Schizosaccharomyces pombe: one gene and its partners. The gene in region 4 interacts genetically with the main gene of each other region. Each region holds a gene or a part of one and is shown on either strand. Other genes may lie near its edges. The genes, in order: ppa1, ptc1, ptc4 and wis1.

Region 1 (4,099 bases), on a different chromosome or scaffold from region 4:
TTTAAAAAGAAAAAACAAAAAAAAAAAAAATTACACTTCACTTTACAAGGCTTGGGCCACTTTTCTTAGGATTTATGGTAAAACGTACTGAGGATATCGTTTACCCCTTGCAGAAATATAGAATATCATTTCTTTTCTTTGATAAATATATGCTTTAAGTTAATTCAACCTCTACACTAATTTCGATTTTTAATCTGCAGCCCTTTAAAATAAAGAAGACTGTAAATTACTTTAAGAATTTCATTTTTTTGCATATAAAAGATAAAATATGACATTTATCATGACTCGAACAAACGACTGCTTGCTAATCACGGAATAAACAACAAACTTTATATCAGTGCTGGTAAGTTTCGTTACTTTAAATCCTAGAGTTGGATAGCTGTACAAAGCAAGCAATTTCAGCAATTCAAAAAGATTTGGACTATGGCTCAGAAAAAGCAGTTATACGTATTCAGTGACTTTGACGGTATGAAAAAATAATTTCAATAAAAACAGACAACTAACTTTTGGGGTCTAGGAACTATTACACTCCAGGATTCCAATGACTACTTAACTGGTAAGGTTGGGAATAGGAAGATTGTTACAGATATAAAAAGATGTATAAAGGTAGTTAGAAAATGTTCTTACAATTAAGCTTAACTGAATATTTATTGAAGATTTACGAAAATCTGTAAGAGAAATCTATGATTTTATAACATTGGGTCAAAAATTTCCCTGCCCACCTTGAATGCTTTATTACTGCAACACTCGACGGCGACGGTTTACTAACTATGTTTTAGACAACTTTGGAATGGGCAACGCCAACCGTGTGAATCTAAATCAACAAGTTCTTGACGGTTCCATTTCTTTTCGGTAAGCGTTTGACGCGTAAATCAACTCTTAACAATTCATAGTGATGCTTTCGCGAAGATGTTGGATTCAGTGCATTTAAGCTATGATGAAGCTTTGGAGGTTCTCAAGAAGAATGTCGCCATTGATCCATCATTTAAACCATTCTATGAATGGTGTAAGTCTCAAGACATTCGTGTAATCATCCTTTCAAGTGGTATGGAGCCTTTTATTCGTGCACTTTTTGAGCAATACCTTGGCAAAGAAGAAGCAAGTAGTATTGAAATTGTTTCTAATGACATCAATGTGCATCCTGATGGTCAATGGAACATTGTGTATCATGATGACAGTCATTTTGGACACGACAAAAGCCTTACTATCCGTCCGTATGCTCAATTGCCAGAAAGTAAACGTCCTCACATGGTCTATTGCGGAGATGGTGTTTCCGATTTGAGTGCTGCGAAGGAAACAGAACACTTGTTTGCCAAGAAAGGACGTGATTTAATTAAATATTGTGAAAGGGAGAAAATTTCTTTCTCTGAATTCGAAACCTTTGCTGATATCCATAAAGATTTGCAAAAATTATTCTTTAGCAGTTAAATCTGAATAATACCTAAGAAGTTTTCGTACTTCAACATTTTTATACCTAAAGTTGATAGATATTTGTTATCAGCGCCTCGAAACTTAGTTTCAAGCAGGTCCTCATAGCAATTTAAATGCATCATTCACCAACGGTTCGATTAGTTTGGGTTGTTAGAAGCAATGATTTAACATAATTTGTATTTATATACTCATCCATTTGCGAGTCTTGTATGAAAAATCCTATATCATATCAGTCCGTAAGTGGTCGCATTGCTACAATATCTCTTTATTTTTTTTAAGAAAGAAAATAAAGAGATATTAAATTTTGCGTCTTTTGGTCGTGAGATCGCCGAAATAAGGTAGCGAGTATAACATAATGTAGATCACGCATATTGTTATATTTTGGTTTGGTAAAGTTACTCAAAGTCAGGAAACTTGTAATGATGTTTTAAGGGGCTTGCAGAAAAAATTGCTATTACGAAATCCATGTCTGTAATATTTTGGTTATTAATAAATTGAAATAAAATTTAAAACATGAAATATTGTGACTTTATGTATCCTGTCTACTACCATACCTTTCAACCTTCATACAAATTTTCCCGTACTCGCATCATTTTCTTTCTTCACCTAACTCCCCACCGTGTCTGTAAAACATAATATTTCTCTTTCCCACATACGAACGAATAAATAATAAAATACAGTATATGTACAGTAAACGTACCTCAGACACCATTATTTTGTCAAGAAAGTGAATAAGCTTACAATACCCCCGTCATCCAGTGAATTCGTAAGTGGGAAGTTGAAAAACGCATGCTCAACGCAGGATAGCATACAAACGGAAAAGCCCTTATGGATTTTTCTGTGGATGCTTTTCTTTTTAATTAAAAATTTAGTCGTTTATTAACTATTGCTTTAAGTTTTTTTCAACAAGATGTCTGTCTCTGGAAAAATTGGAGAGGTCGATCGTTGGATTGAACAGTTGAGTCGATGCGAACCTCTTTCAGAGGAAGATGTCATTCAAATGTGTGATCTCGCAAAAGAGGTACTTTCTGTAGAATCAAACGTTCAAAGCGTCCGATGCCCTGTAACGGTTTGTGGTGATATTCATGGACAATTCCATGACTTAATGGAGTTGTTCAATATTGGCGGCCCTTCACCTGATACAAATTATTTGTTTATGGGAGATTATGTTGACAGAGGATATCACAGTGTAGAAACAGTTTCTCTACTGATTGCTTTTAAAATTCGATATCCCCAGCGTATAACAATATTACGTGGAAACCATGAATCTAGGCAAATTACACAAGTTTATGGATTTTATGATGAATGCCTTAGAAAGTATGGAAATGCGAATGTTTGGCAGTACTTTACAGATCTTTTTGACTATTTGCCTCTCACCGCCCTAATTGAAGATCGAATTTTTTGCCTTCACGGAGGTCTTTCTCCTAGTATTGATACACTTGACCATGTTCGTATATTAGATCGTGTGCAAGAGGTTCCTCATGAAGGTCCGATATGCGACTTGTTATGGTCAGATCCTGATGACCGACCTGGTTGGGGTATTTCTCCTCGAGGTGCTGGGTATACGTTTGGCCCGGATATTGCTGAAGCATTTAACCATAATAACGGTTTAGATTTAATAGCAAGAGCTCATCAGCTAGTTATGGAAGGTTATAATTGGACTACAAACCATAATGTTGTTACTATTTTTTCTGCTCCCAATTATTGTTATCGATGTGGAAACCAAGCAGCCATTATGGGAATTGATGACCACATAAATTACGCATTTATCCAATATGATACTGCTCCCCGAAAGGAGGAATTACATGTCACCAGAAGAACACCCGATTACTTCTTATAAGTCATCGTATGTTTTACTTTCTTCTTGGACTTGTTAATAGCTGGAATTTTTCATGGTTGGATTTTAGCGTTGTCAACGTGCCGCTAAAAATTTACTTTAATTTTATGGGTTTCTAATAGAATGTTGTTATCTTCGAATTTTTAATTCTCCTGTTTCGGTACAAATATTGAATTTATGGAATGCATATAAAATTTATATAGGATATATGATGCACTTGTAAGGTGTCTACCGTAATGATAATTTTTCACATCTGTACCGGTGTATAATATATTAGTGAAACACCAACTTATCGACATTAACATTTTAATAAATTATCTACAAAGGTCTAAACATAAATGATAGCATGTTCAGTAAATAAAAAAAAAACATAAGACCATGAAAGCTAAAACATTGTGAAGCTGATGTATGAGTAAATTTAAAACTTGTGCGCAAAAAGTTAATCGTCAAAGCTAGATATGTTAATAATCGAAAATTTAACAAACAGCTTACATGTAACGCTCAAGTAAAGCACAATTTCCTCCATTTTTAAGATTTACTGCGAACCGATAATAGTGTCCTGAATAAGAAGCTACTTGTATGTGCGGACCGCTGCTCGAAAAAATTATTTTTCCATAGAAAGAAGCTTCAGGAATCTTAGCAGTTGCAAATTCTTTCCTAGTGTCCCAAACTTTTGCTACATTTGAAGTTAAATATTTTGACCAAGAAGATGACACAGTTACGGAAGATGTAGGAGACGAATTCGGATCCGATGGTTGCTTAGAGATTTTGAAAACGTGAATAGTACCATTTTCAGAAGCACAAGCCAGAAAAGGCTCAACTGGGTGAAAT
Region 2 (4,496 bases), on a different chromosome or scaffold from region 4:
CTTGAGCTTGCAAGAAGGGAAAATTCCACCATATTGTCAAAACTGTGGAACCATCAAAACTGCCAATTGGCGCAATGCTACGTACATGAACATAACTTTGATGCTTTGTAATGCATGTGGTATATATTGGACGAGTCGGCGCTCGATGCGTCCAAGAAATTTATGGTCTACCTATAAAGCATTTGAAACAGAGAAACCGTTGGAAAATGATGCATTTGCTCAGCTTGAGTTAGCCGTATATAAACTTTCCCAGCAACGAAAACTATCTATATCCATCTTCCGTGAGCTTGAAAATGCAGGACGGCACTCTCCTCTGAATAGACTTACGTCTTTAGACTCAACACACTCTGCACCTGATCCCAATCATATCTCAAAACCCTCTGTTGTTAATCAGCAGAAATCCAGAGGAGGTCCCCGTACTGCTAAGCTGAAAAATGACCTCAGACGCATACAATCATCTCCCATTGTTGCACCTACTCCTGATACATCATTTCGTGAGCCTTTATCCGAAATTGGGTCTAATGATAGTTGGCTGGTATTACCAAATTCACTAAGTGCCAATATACAAAATGATGTTTTAAGAAAAACTGATTTCATGTGTACTGACAAGGAAAACGTCGCTTTTCCTTTGAAAACCACAACAAAGCCTATGCCTAAAGTAAATAAAGAAGAGACAGAGCCAACTCTGCCTGTTTGCGATTCAGAAAAAGAAAATGATGATTTAGAGTGCTATTTCAGAACCCCTCCAAAACCAACTACCTTACAAAAGCAACAACAAAGTCCATCACCCTGGAGGTCAGAGTTATTTTTGTCTGACCCTGACCAAAACGTATTGACACCAAGGCATAAGCCAAAGTTTGATTTATCAAAGGCATTGTCTTCGGTTGCAAAATCCAATAACATTGAGAATTCACCTCAATTACCAGAAAGATATGATTTTTCTTTAGAATTGGGGTTGAATTCTCAACTCGATAATGAAGAAAGACGCGATATTCCTCTGATGACAGATTTGGTGATGCCAAGTAGTCCGCCCATGGTCCCTGCTGACAGGCATTTATCCGTTGAAAACACTTGTTGAAAGAGCGATAAAGGCGTACCTTTGCTTCACACATTACCCTTGTTCTTTAATTTTTTGTTTTATCAAGAAGTCATGTGTGATCAAAATTGACATCTTTCATTATTCGAGTCTTCTTGCTTTTTTATGATTTTTATTTTGATAATGACATCCTTAATTCGTTTTCTTAACCGCAAAAAAATGATTGTTGCTGTTAAAGTCCTTACTGCGTAAGAACTCCCAAGGCATGTCCCCTCAAATCCGTCCTTCGTTCTTTTTATTTCTAAAGCAATTTATTTTATTTTCTTTCATACCATGAGCCGTTATTACCTCCCCCTTGATTATTAAAATATTTCAAGTCGTTGCTTATTGTTGGCGGCATAGCCAAGAGCATGCGACAAGCATTCTATAAATCTTGTCGCAAAATAGAAGTTGGACACTATTTCTTTTAATCTTCTCAAATGTTCTTCGACTTCATCTTTGAGGCTCGGTTTATGGAAATTTTGGATACTTCGTGATAGTTCTGTCTGTTTTGCTTATACAAACAAATTATAATTTCATTAATTGTATTATGAAAGCCGATATGGACAAAGCCACATCCTTATTTTACATACGGAAAAAGTTACTTTTAATTATTTATATGAACACTGTTATTCTTGTTAGCATGTTTATGTTGCGAAACGTTTCTAATTGATTATTATGGGTAGACCGGATAATTGATATTTAGCAAATTCACTAGACGAACACATGACAAATTTTTTTCAGTAATGCGAACCAAAGTCACGCGAAAGCAAGTGTAAAAGTCGAAGGATTTCAATACATGGTTCAATATTTTTGTCTAGAATAAATCAAACGTTTAGTTCATATATTCAAAACAACAGCTTATTGCTGCTTACTATTTCTAATTTTCTAATAGCCTTTTGTTAGCATTTTTGTATTATAATGTAGTTCAATGCAGAGCGGATAACGGTTTAGTGGAAGTTAACCTAGTACGTAAAAATGATTTCCGAAGATCTCGGTATACCACGCGTGACGTAAATGCCCGAGTTTATTAGCACTGACTGACTTAACAAGTTTATACTTACGCAGAAACCCAAGGAAAATCGGTGTTTCTCGTATATACTATACAATCAGCAATTTTATACCTGATATTATAATTGAAGGTATTTAGTTAATTTGAAAAGCAATTTTTTTGTCGGTACTGAAGTGTTTGAACGAATATGAAGGGAAGCCATCCAAATGCAGGTTCCCTGTTGGAACCACTTCACAAGTTGAACCCATTTTCTGAAAATTCTACAAGTGGACATCGAAAAAACGCTAGTGATCATTCGGCGGATGGAGAAACTCGACCGATTGCAATTGAGATGAAGGATAGTAAAGGCAACACAGTCCCAGTTGGTAACTCGCGCCCTAGTAAAGCCTCTAACTGGCTTGCTGGACTGATGGAGGATAAAAACCAAAGATGGCGTAGGTCTATGGAGGATACTCATATTTGCTTGTATGATTTTGGGGGTAATCAGGACGACGGCTTCGTTGCCGTTTATGACGGACATGCTGGCATTCAAGCATCTGACTACTGTCAGAAGAATCTTCACAAGGTACTTTTGGAAAAGGTTAGGAATGAGCCGGACCGGCTGGTCACAGACCTAATGGACGAAACATTTGTCGAGGTCAACAGCAAAATTGCAAAGGCTACTCACAATGACATTTGCGGTTGTACCGCTGCAGTTGCTTTCTTTAGATATGAGAAAAACCGCACCCGCCGTGTTCTCTACACAGCTAATGCAGGTGATGCACGTATCGTATTATGCCGTGATGGTAAGGCTATTCGACTTTCTTACGATCACAAGGGATCCGATGCCAATGAGTCTCGTCGTGTGACCCAGTTGGGTGGTCTCATGGTACAAAACCGAATTAATGGCGTTCTTGCTGTCACAAGGGCCTTAGGTGATACCTATCTTAAGGAATTGGTCAGTGCGCATCCCTTCACCACTGAAACCCGAATCTGGAACGGTCATGATGAGTTCTTCATTATCGCTTGTGATGGCTTGTGGGATGTAGTATCGGATCAGGAAGCTGTCGACTTTGTTCGCAATTTCGTAAGCCCTCGCGAAGCCGCTGTTCGCCTGGTAGAATTTGCATTAAAACGTCTTAGTACAGACAATATCACTTGTATTGTAGTTAACTTGACTCGCAATCCCGGTGATCTCGATGATTCAGGACTTACCGCTGATAATGATTCATACAGTAATGACTATTATTAGGTATTTGATGGATTCAATGATGTGCTTTCTGTTGTTTCGTAACGGTTTTTCGATGTCTTTACCTCATCCACAGTACTTGTTTGGAAGCCGGAATGACTTAATCCTATTTTTTTGTTTACCAAGCACTGTAATTGCATCGATTCTTTTCCTTTATTTATGGACCTTGTATTCTCATTTGGACATGGTTTTCCTTTGGGTCGACTTATTTTTTCTAATTAATTACTCTTCTTTTTATAAACCACTTTGTGCATGTTTCTCTTGTTCTTCTTTTTTGTCTAAAAGTAATGTGTCTAAATATCGATCCTAAATCTGTCCAAATCTAGTTTCTTTTTTCTTTTTTCATGATTTGCTACCTTTTCCTCCAATCTGCGTGCCACTGTTCGAATCAATCGTATATTCATCATTAGCCCTCTTCATACCCATTTAAAGGTACAAACATTTCACTCTTTTTAAGGTTCTTCGTGAGTGTTTTCGGTATTTTTATTTACAATTGCTTCGCAAATATTATGAATGTACTTGCGTGCATGCATTGGTGTTTATAACAAAGGCTATACGTTCACCAAAAAAAATTTATTTTACCCTTTTATCGTCTTTAATTTTCGATTTAAAAGTCGAATTATAATTATTATTCTGAAGTTACGGGTTGTCTTTATTTTGTCCCGTTCCTGCTAAAATACCATTTGCACGTAAAAATATATATACATACACTAATTGTACCAAGTATTCGAGATTTTAGCATTGGCCTAAACATAGGAAAAAGACAACGCTTTTCTACTTACTGTCTCAACTCTAGTTTTCATACATAAAGGTGCAGAGCAATACAATCAAATGATACTCACCGGATAAAGACATGCAATTGTTTTTTATAATTACCGTTTATAGGTTTTTTGTTGAATGATCTGGAAATGAATGACTATAGTAATAGATAATAATACATGAAAAAAACATTGACAAATTGAAACAACCACGTTAAACCGATCATACATAGCTGAACTGAAGTCAACTCAACTCATTTTGTCATGGTGAAGTCAAAGTTCTCACCAAACAAGTCATTTATGCTTTCAGTGGTTGGAATGTCTGTAGGAAGATTTAGAGCGTTGTCAAACGTATTAGTTAAATGCGAAGCAAAGCTGCCATCATTACCGAACGCAGCACTGTAGTTTTCTTGTGCTTGCAAG
Region 3 (4,284 bases), on a different chromosome or scaffold from region 4:
GTTACTAAAGAAATAGTATGCTTAAATAAGCCATACAATCGGTAGTCATTCACATCATTCCCAAGCACATACTAATAAAAACTTAAAGGTACTTCAATTGCTTCGTAAACCTATAATAGTACAAACAATTGTACGAGAATGAGGTTGGCGACGAAACTCAGCTAACTGAATGTCTTGCCAAGTACCCAAGCTCAACTTCCCATTAGTAATGGGAACAGTTAAACTAGGTCCAATTAAGCTAGATTTAACATGAGCAGGCATATCGTCTAATCCTTCTGCAGTATGACGGTAGCCTGCTGATTCAGGGACAATTTTATCCAATATATCGTTCATGTCAGCTCGCGTATCTGCGTCCCAATTCTCATTGATAGTAAGAGCAGCAGAGGTATGCTGTATAAAAAAATTTACTGTACCAGAAGAAAAGCTTTTTAATTCTGGAAGCTTTTTGACCAAATCGTTTGTAATTATGTAAAACCCTTTGGATCTTCTCTAAATTCAATTGAGTTAGTTCAGAAGAATAATCTTAAAAAAAAAGTTACATCTAAAGTTATAATGCGTTGAATAACATCCATGTTTCAGAACGATTATTGAAGAGGATAGATGTAATACTTTAGCACAAAGTTGTAAAATACTCAACTCTACTAGGTAACATGCTATTTAGAGGATAGTGTGAATAGGCTTGATACACTATATGAATTCATTAAGAGTGCAGAAATATAACATATACTAATGTGTTCGAATAATAGGTTAACCAAAGATAGACGAAGAGTGTCAAGCACTAATGATTCCAAAATGTTAAACAATCTAAATTGAGGAGAAAATAAAATAACCATATAATATTCAGAAATAGCTTCTGAACGCCCAAAAGTTTTCTGAATATAAAACAAATATACGGATATGTCATTCTTAAAAGCGTACTTAAGAAACCGCAAAAGTAATTAAATACTTGAATCAACATATTATAGGTTTAATCGATTATAAATGCATTAAAATGGGGACAAAATGAGAACAAAAATGAGAACATTGAAACATGCCAAAAACGTATGACATAAACAATATTAAGCATTATCTAAACGGATTAAAGAAAGAGAAATTCTTAAATTGAAGGCTTAGTTTTTATGAAGACTTGATGTTCAACTTCTTCTGGGATGATAAGCAGACTTTTCCAAACGTAAATTCTTTGTAAAGTCATTAATAGTGCGTTTTTTCCACCCTGGAAGACGAACAACAAGACAGGTGATATCGTCCACAGCACCAACGTTTTGAGCGTAACGAATGATATTATTCGCAGCATCTTGAGGGGACTCAGACAGTTTTATTATATCGACAACTTCATCATCCGATACGACATCTGTAATACCGTCCGAAAGAAGAGTTAAAAACGACCAGTCATCTCTTAGTGAATGAATAGAAGTCAATTGAGGTTCGGCAACAACACCTAATTTTTTGAGTTTATATCCGTCTCCAAAACTACGGGTGTTAGCGACCCAAGCGAATCTTTTCTGTCCAAATGAGTCTCTTGAAAAACCCATGTTGTAACGTCGTAGCCGACGTGCTTCCTCGACATCAGCTGGATGATGTTGGAATGTTAAACGATGGGCCCTTCCAGTCCGAGAATCACACAATAAAGCTCTTGTATCGCCGACATGAGCAAGGTGAATAATGTAACTATCGCTTTCCCAATATGAGAGATTATTTTTTGAAGTTATTATAGCCACGGTACCGACTGCGCCGGGTACAGCACTGTCAGGCGATGGCCGGGCATAGTTAGTTAAATAATCCATGTCCGCTTGTAAAAATGAATAATATAGCCTCGCCCTCCAAAGCAGATCTTCGTCCCTAGATTGAAGAACAGTGCGCAAAGAAAATGGAGGCTTTAGACCCGCCATGTATCCACCCACGGAATGGACTTCCTTCAGGATTTTCTCTGTATCATTTAAATCTTGATTTTCAATAATCTTCCCCAAGTTGGTGGAAAGAAACTCACTACACTCAGTACCTCCGTGACCGTCGAAAAGCCCGTAGAAAAAAGGACTATCTCTGTTAGTAGTATCTTTTAGGTTATTTAAGTAGCCGTAAGCCATACGGTCTTGATTTGTCGGCGAATCTCCTCTAGCGGTACATAATCCAAGACTCTGAGGTGCTTTGTTCATACTTATCTTCAGGTAGGGACCATTGGAGGGACTATAATACTGAATAAAGGATCGATAGAAATAGTTTTTTGAGCAATAGGCATTTTGAATATATAGAGGTGCCCGTAAACGTTTAAGAAAACGGATCGACATGTATTAATGGAGAAGGATTCTCAAACGTGAATCGCTTGAGATGGTAACTTCGCGGCGTGCAAAACAAACCGTGCAAGAAACCGGTAATTTCTAGTAAATTTTGCTAAAAAAAGATTAATGATCAAAGGATTAGAGGAAAGAAAGTTTTCTTTCCTACAGATATTGAAGCTTCCAGACGCTTTGCTTGAAAGCCGAGGTAAATTTCCAGTTTAAGGCTAACTCGAAATACCAAATAACAGGGGATTTTAAAAAGAGTTCAGCATACACCAACAAGGAGAAAGTCTTACACGATTCTATACAAGCGGTGTAAAGCATATAGTGTGTTAAAACGAACCCTGTAATACTATGCAAACAAATGCGTTAAAGCACGATAAAAGAAGTTAAGGAAGATATGTAATGAAAGGAAGGCTGTGAGCATTGTAGGGATAGTTCGTTTGATGAGCATGTCTTTATTTCATTTTCGTTAATATTTCAATTTTTTTTGGTTGGTTTGAGGGGGTGGATTCTACCAACCACTTTCATTTTTCCTATCCAAATATGTTTTTTACTTTTCTATCTTATTTTTTCACTATAGCACATTAGCACTCTAGATTATATTGCTTTGTTAGAGCAAAACAGATGGAGTATATAGCTTATCGACGACAATTCAATTCAATTCAATCCAACCATCAGAGAAATCTGACTATGTTACTCTTTAGTTTATTCCTAATAAGCGCTGCTTGAATAAAGTGATAAGTGCAACAGCTCCGATGATGGCAAGATATTTAGCGATTAGAGATTGTTTCGTTTCCAAAGTACCAAGTACTTATAACGAAATATATACAAAAGCTCCCAAATTCAAAATTGCTGGGTGTACGGCGCCACCAAAATACAGAACCGTCATTCATTTGTTCCAATATAACGCCATTGTTCTCTGTATTGTTTGCTAATTGTTTCAACTTGTTGAACTATTAGTGATGGTCTAGTCCAAACGACACCTGGAATGAGAGCGCATTGATGAAAGAGCTTCAACACAGCGCCCAATCTCTCTTACTGTGGGAATCTCAAACATTGTCAATGTTGTCACATGTTGTTTGTTCGTATACAAAGAAATGCAAATGCCATCCACGCATTCTGTTCATCATTAAAACTCTTTGATTAAATCCCTTGTACTGCATTAAATTTCATGGCTGCATAGAAGAAAAGTTACATAGGAAAGAGCCAGCGATTGCTACGAATACTCGCTCGATCTCACTCCACAGGCTGTTTCTTTAACAATTTATATAAGAATATACAAATAAGTAAAGTTTCATAGAAAAGAAGAAATGGATTTTATAGTGAAAATGGGGAATTTTAAAGTCCCTCATTGCTTCATCTAGCAACTCTTTCTTATATACAATAACCGAAATACGATGCATCGGTAATTAACTGTTTACGCACACACAATCTCTCAATCTTCTCTCCTCTAAAATAAATGTCTCCAACCAATTTGTTGATAAAGATAGAATGGCTGTTGTAATGTAGCAAACACTTATCAGGGGATGGATGGATGGATGGATGTTTTTCATCAAGCACTTGTTTACATGAGTGGGCGTTAGCTGAACACCGAGAGTCATGTTCATTCAATTGTGCTAGTGTTTTATAATTTATTTGTTTTCGTTTCAGTTTACTGTTTGTGTAGAATGAATACTAGTCATGAAAGGAAAGAATAAACCTTTCTGAAAATGAAATGACATTGAGTGCATATTGTTGAATATGGATATGCTGTTGCTTCCATACATTTGGAAATTTTGCAAACCTCTTTTTTTATGTATGTCCCGATCAATGTGTGTATCCGTGGATTACCAAGTTATCAGTGAATCGGCTTCCGTTCCTCCATATCTTTGAATTGCTCTTTTTTCTGCCCTAAGCAGCGCAATGCGCATGAAGCGTTATCATTCAATGTACCGAACAGAGTGGCAGTTGAGTGGCCCTTACCAATCCGGCCTTTCAAAGTTTATCTAAGAACCACTTGTTTGAG
Region 4 (5,180 bases):
TGAAACTGCAAAAGCGAAATACGCATCTCAAAAGCGACCGTAATATATTACGGCGTTCTTTCTCAAAAAATATTCCACTATGAAGGAATTTTCATTTCCAGGATAAAAATCTGTTATGACTCTAGATTACCTTGTTGGACTTATGTTGGGAGAATTTGTTTCTTTGATATATAAAAGTCTCGTACTTTTTAAATAAATGAATACCTCAAATCTCTTTGAGTAATATATTAATAGTTTAAGTAATTATTATTAGGTCGATATAATATCTATTAACACTTGCATTTACGATGGATTCAATCTCTCTAAGTAATCACCATTGTAGGAAACAGGAGATCATAGTAGCTAAAACGACGGAGCCAGTCAACGAAGTTTTAAAAGAAATAAATTAATACAGTACAAGTAACTTTTACAATTGCAAACTTTCGTTTGCACTTCTAAAGCCCCTTAGTTAAATAAAAAAAAAGTTTTTTATGGTGGACGTAAATGCCTTAAACAAATGTAATAACACATTAAATACCCGTTTTAATTTAAAGCAAAAATGCAAACATCAACTACCGTTATACGGAATCATACCCAAATTATTAAATTTATGAAAAAGCACAAATGCAAAATAGCGTCGGTTCTGCTGAAACATAATTATGGATCACGTAATAGTCATGCATTCGAAATTAAAGACAAACACCAATGCGCATGGGTACTTTAAAACAGAGCAGGCAATTAGAAAGCAGGCGAACCTTTAGCTTCTTTTTTCACCTTTCTCTTTAAGAGCGCCTTTTGCCCATGAAGCCATGTCCACATCTGCATTTTGATATTTTAACAACCATGGATGGTTAGCCAACTCATGATAATCGGGACGCAAAGACGGGTTTTTATTCAAACACTTGTTTACAAAATCACGAGCTTCGGGAGAAAATGAATCGGGGAGAGAAGGTGGATCGCCATCGCAAATCGCCGATAGTTGTGCAAATATTGAAGTATATGATTCAGGTGGATACGGATAAGCTCCTAAAGCCATTTCTAAAATGGTAAGGCCTAGAGACCACACATCAGCCTGTACGGTGTAAGTCAAGACGCCATTGGTAGGTCCACCAACACGAATTCTTTCAGGAGCCATGTAAGATTGACATCCAATGTTCGTTTTGGATATAGAAGCCACAAGATTCCCACTCACGCCAAAGTCACATAACTTAACCTGGCCATTAGAATTTACCAAAACATTAGTAGGTTTAACGTCACGATGAATGATATTATGCTCCTCTTTCAAAGTTTTGAGGCCTTGCACTACAGCATAAGCAGTTCTAGCTAAAACTCCTTCGTCTTTGATACCACCAGCATACAGTTTGTCCATGCTACCAGCATCCATATATTCCATACAAATAAAAACAGAACCTTCCACAAAAAAGGCACCATAAAAGTCAACGATATAAGGACTAACTGCTTTATGTAAAATATCCAATTCCATTATAATTTGATTAAATGTTGCTTCTTCTAAGGACAACCTAATTTCCTTCAAGGCCATAGTGACACCAGTCGGTTGATGCAATGCTTTATACACAACACCATAGTTACCTTTTCCAAGTTCTTCAAGCTTAATAATCTCTGACATATTAATACGAAACGAAGAGCCAGATGAAAAGTTAACACCTTCTGAATTTAACACGGCTTTGTTTTTAAAATTTAAGGTGCCTGATTTTGCATCCAAAATATCCGAAAATGTGGAAAAAGGGGTTTCCGAAACAGCCTGTTTAAGGGTGGGAGGAATGTTTAGGCCACGGCGAGAAGCCATGCTAGACGGACTGACAGGGCTGGTGGGATTGGAATTGGATAAATCGAGTTTTCCAGGTGGTGCACGACGGATTCTCGTTTGTCGATTGAAGGACGTTGGACGGTTGAGTAAAGGATTCCTAGCAGCAGCAAGTGATTTTGCAAGCCCGGACTCTGGCATATTCGGAGACTTTACGGGCGAATTACTTAATCGACCAGCAAGTTGAGAGTTAGGCAAAGGATAACTTCCTCGTTGACCCATACCGACAATAGGGGTAGTTGGACTACTGATCTTGTTGACTACTTCCGGCATTGATTTTGATCTAGATGCATGGAAGGCCTTCAATTTCTCCTGTATATCAGTTGAAAGTCCTCCAGGAAATGGGCCCGGTGGAGTAGGAGGAGATCCAATATTGTTCTGACCAGCTGCTGTAGGAAGTGAACGTCTAGGTTTTTCCGAAGGATCCTTCATGTCAAGGTTAAGAGAGTTACGACTCCGACTGGACGTAGATCTGCCAAGTCTGACCGTAGGCACGGCACGGGGAAGAGGGGGATCGGAAGGTATTTCACGACTAGGAGAAGAAACCTTTGAGTCATTGTCACTGCCACTACTGTTAGAATTTAAAGACAAGGAACCCAAGGAAGAACCAGAAGAATCGGTGTTTGAAGAACTTGAAGACGAAAGAGAAAGGAGCGAGCCGGGAGTACCAACATCACCGGGAGGTGCGGTAGGAGAAATAGACAGCTGTCTCAATGAGCAAGACAAGGGTTGATTATTTGGAGAAGACATATAAAATAAATGTGCTTCACAAACTTAAAAAAAAAGAAAAAAAAATTAGGTAAACTAAATTCCGGTAATATAAATGAAGCAAAAGTGAAGATGAACGAAAGTGAGATGGCAATACAAAAAAGGTATCTTGGGTGAAAAGAACAATTAAAATTAGACAATCAATTACGAGTCGTCTCCGACGAAGAAGGAAAAAAAAAGCGGTGGTCTAAAAAGTCCGCAGGAAGGATATTCCAAGAAAAAAAAAGGAAGTTTAAAGGCAATCACCTACGAGTAGCTTTGTGTAGGTAAATGCCACGGAAAAAAAGGAGGTTTGGAAGGGTTTAAATTTAACAGCAAAAGCCAGAAACTGGAAGAAACAGGGGCTTAGATAATAAATTTCCCAAGGAGAACTAAAGAAAAAAAAGTAAAAAGGTGTGGGTTAATCTTAGTCCGAGAAGTCAATACTTTAAAACCGAGTTATGACCGACGAGTAAGGAGGCAAAGGTAAGGAGAAAAAGTAATAATTCACAAACACGAAATAAAAAGGAAAGAAATTTGAAATTATCTTTCTAAAAGATAACACGTAAGGGTGTGGAAGGAAGAGAAAAAATTCAGAAACGCTTTTCTCTTACAGTAAAGAGCAAAAAAAATTCTGCTCTTTAAAGGAAATGGGAAAATTTAGGGAGGGTGATAAAATAGGAAGTGTAGTCGGTACGATGTAAATAAGATATACACGTCGAAAGGGAATGCTTGAGAGATTAGGAATCCCAGCTATCGCCAGCCGGCTGGGGTATGTTTGGGTATACAAGAAGGTGGAATGGGATGGAGTTGGTGAAGGATAAAAGGATAACGAAAGTCAGACAACACGTTGCTTAATCTTAAGGAGAAACTTTTGCACGTTAGCTTACGTATCAGTATATAAGGATAACGTGGATAAAAAAATGTTTCATCAAAACAAGGGATGGTTAAGGGATACAATCAAATTTGTAAAATCAAAATAACGTGAAGCCAAATAATATGCTGCAGATCTCCGTATAAGCGTAACGACCTGTATGAATCATTCGACAAGATTTCTAACAAGGTATCCTGAGATTTATATGCAAATGGAAAGAATGTACGGCAGAAATAGCTGGTAAGAAATACCTCGATGGATTAATGGGAAAGCACAGGATGATTGGGTAAAATGCTCAACGTATAGAGAATAATACATAGAAGTAAAGAAAAACAGAAAAAAAAAGGGCCGAAAAATATTTTAATGGAAGATAAACACAACGATTTATCGGTCTTGACAGAAGGAATTGAATTGTCCGATAGATATGGTAGTGTTTGATTAGAAAAGAATAAAGAATAAATAAATAAAAACAAAAATAATTAATGATTAGGTGCATAGGGCTTTAAGTTTCAAAGCTGGTATTCGAATGTCAATGTATACTAAGAAAAATCATGATCCAAGGTAAAATGTATAACCAAATAAATAAGAGAAATATAACTAACCTAGTAGCTTCCGTCCTTGAGAGCGATAAAAAAAAGCGAGTTAACGCACAAGTGTTTCGAAAAGGTGTAGTAATGTATAATAAAACATTTTTTAATAATCGTTAAAAGGTTCAGCAAGTGGAATGAAGAGAGTGTGTTATTTGTGCTCTAGAAGCAGCGTAAAAAAAAATTTATTTATTTTTAAATTTTTTTTTTTTTTCTAATTTTTTTAAATTTCTTTTGTTTAAGGAAACACACAAAAATAATGTAAGAGTAGCAGCAAAACTGCTAGGAACATTTTGTTCTATGGAAAAAGACACTGAAGTGAAAAGTGCAACGAAGGGGTAGAACTTTCGTAGGAAGGAAAAACAAGCAAAGAGAAAAAAATTTACAAAAGTTCCTAGATCACTCCATCTATATGCAAATGCATAATGTACGGTGTATGCTCGAACAAAGTAGAAAGGGGGCTATAAAAACGATTTGAGGATAATCCTTTATTAATGAGAAAAAATTTGGAACGTCTAGTTTTGCGCCAACATCAAGGGAAGACAAAAAAAATTTTCATTAAAACAGACTCAATAATGTTCAATTGAGATAGAAGAATACAGAAAGAGTCGAATGATTGAACATGTGGTGAAAAAGGCTGAAGATGAAACTAGATAGAAAGAGGCTGTATTCCCAACATCCAAAAATGAGGAAAAACTAAAGAAGAGAAGGAAAGTGGAATAAAATGAAGAAATTAAAAGAGAAAATCATACGATGAAACTGAGAAGAAGAAGAAGGCATTTTATTTTAATTTTATTAATTTTATTAGATTTCATTTCGTTTGACGCTTTACGGTTTCATGAAATGCCAAATTGCTAATTCTTTATTAGATTTTGGAGTATTTTCATTGTTAGTCTGCGAGTATTTTCATTATTAGTTTGTATTTAAAAAGTTTCATCGTATGTTTCTATAGATGCGTTTTTTTTTACATTATTTGAATTGAATGAAGAATTGATTTGCTATAAGAGAAATTTTTGACTTGGTATGGTTGCTGGCTGGCACCCACGGCTGCGTATGCCACATACCATACAATAGTAGACTAAGACGACTGTACATACGAATGGTAGTTGTTTTTTGGGGAAAGGAAAAAGGAATTCTTTGATAGTTAGAATGAATAAAAGGGTAGCGC

What was found.
Region 1: of wis1 (region 4) and ppa1, changing one suppresses a phenotype caused by changing the other (phenotypic suppression), as found in Schizosaccharomyces pombe (one study listed by BioGRID).
Region 2: of wis1 (region 4) and ptc1, a mutation in one rescues a mutant of the other (synthetic rescue), as found in Schizosaccharomyces pombe (one study listed by BioGRID).
Region 3: of wis1 (region 4) and ptc4, changing one enhances a phenotype caused by changing the other (phenotypic enhancement), as found in Schizosaccharomyces pombe (one study listed by BioGRID).

Annotation. Positions count from the first base shown.
Region 1 is NC_003424.3:2,605,762-2,609,860, forward strand, and holds ppa1 (serine/threonine protein phosphatase PP2A catalytic subunit Ppa1), read left to right. Parts: upstream 1-2,034; 5' UTR 2,035-2,197; exon of another isoform or gene 2,198-2,255; intron 2,256-2,327; 5' UTR 2,328-2,341; coding exon 2,342-3,271; 3' UTR 3,272-3,599; downstream 3,600-4,099. Other genes in the region: ptf1 (phosphoric monoester hydrolase), read left to right, coding at 424-466, 518-556, 780-852, 894-1,428; phosphatidylinositol-3,5-bisphosphate binding protein Atg1802, read right to left, coding at 3,708-3,720, 3,761-4,099.
Region 2 is NC_003421.2:2,002,405-2,006,900, forward strand, and holds ptc1 (serine/threonine protein phosphatase PP2C catalytic subunit Ptc1), read left to right. Parts: upstream 1-2,131; 5' UTR 2,132-2,274; coding exon 2,275-3,318; 3' UTR 3,319-3,988; downstream 3,989-4,496. Other genes in the region: GATA-type transcription factor Ams2, read left to right, coding at 1-1,078; SPOM_SPCC4F11.03C (uncharacterized protein), read right to left, coding at 4,328-4,496. UniProt on the Schizosaccharomyces pombe protein: Serine and threonine phosphatase. Has a specialized role in the heat shock response. May be responsible for the dephosphorylation of hsp90.
Region 3 is NC_003424.3:2,540,154-2,544,437, forward strand, and holds ptc4 (mitochondrial serine/threonine protein phosphatase PP2C catalytic subunit Ptc4), read right to left. Parts: upstream 2,503-4,284; 5' UTR 2,286-2,502; coding exon 1,134-2,285; 3' UTR 592-1,133; downstream 1-591. Other genes in the region: SPOM_SPAC4A8.02C (uncharacterized protein), read right to left, coding at 94-489, 540-572. UniProt on the Schizosaccharomyces pombe protein: Has a role in the regulation of vacuole fusion.
Region 4 is NC_003423.3:1,143,231-1,148,410, forward strand, and holds wis1 (MAP kinase kinase Wis1), read right to left. Parts: upstream 3,374-5,180; 5' UTR 2,555-3,373; coding exon 737-2,554; 3' UTR 501-736; downstream 1-500. Other genes in the region: ubiquitin hydrolase Uch2, read left to right, coding at 1-43. UniProt on the Schizosaccharomyces pombe protein: Dosage-dependent regulator of mitosis with serine/ threonine protein kinase activity. May play a role in the integration of nutritional sensing with the control over entry into mitosis. It may interact with cdc25, wee1 and win1. May activate sty1.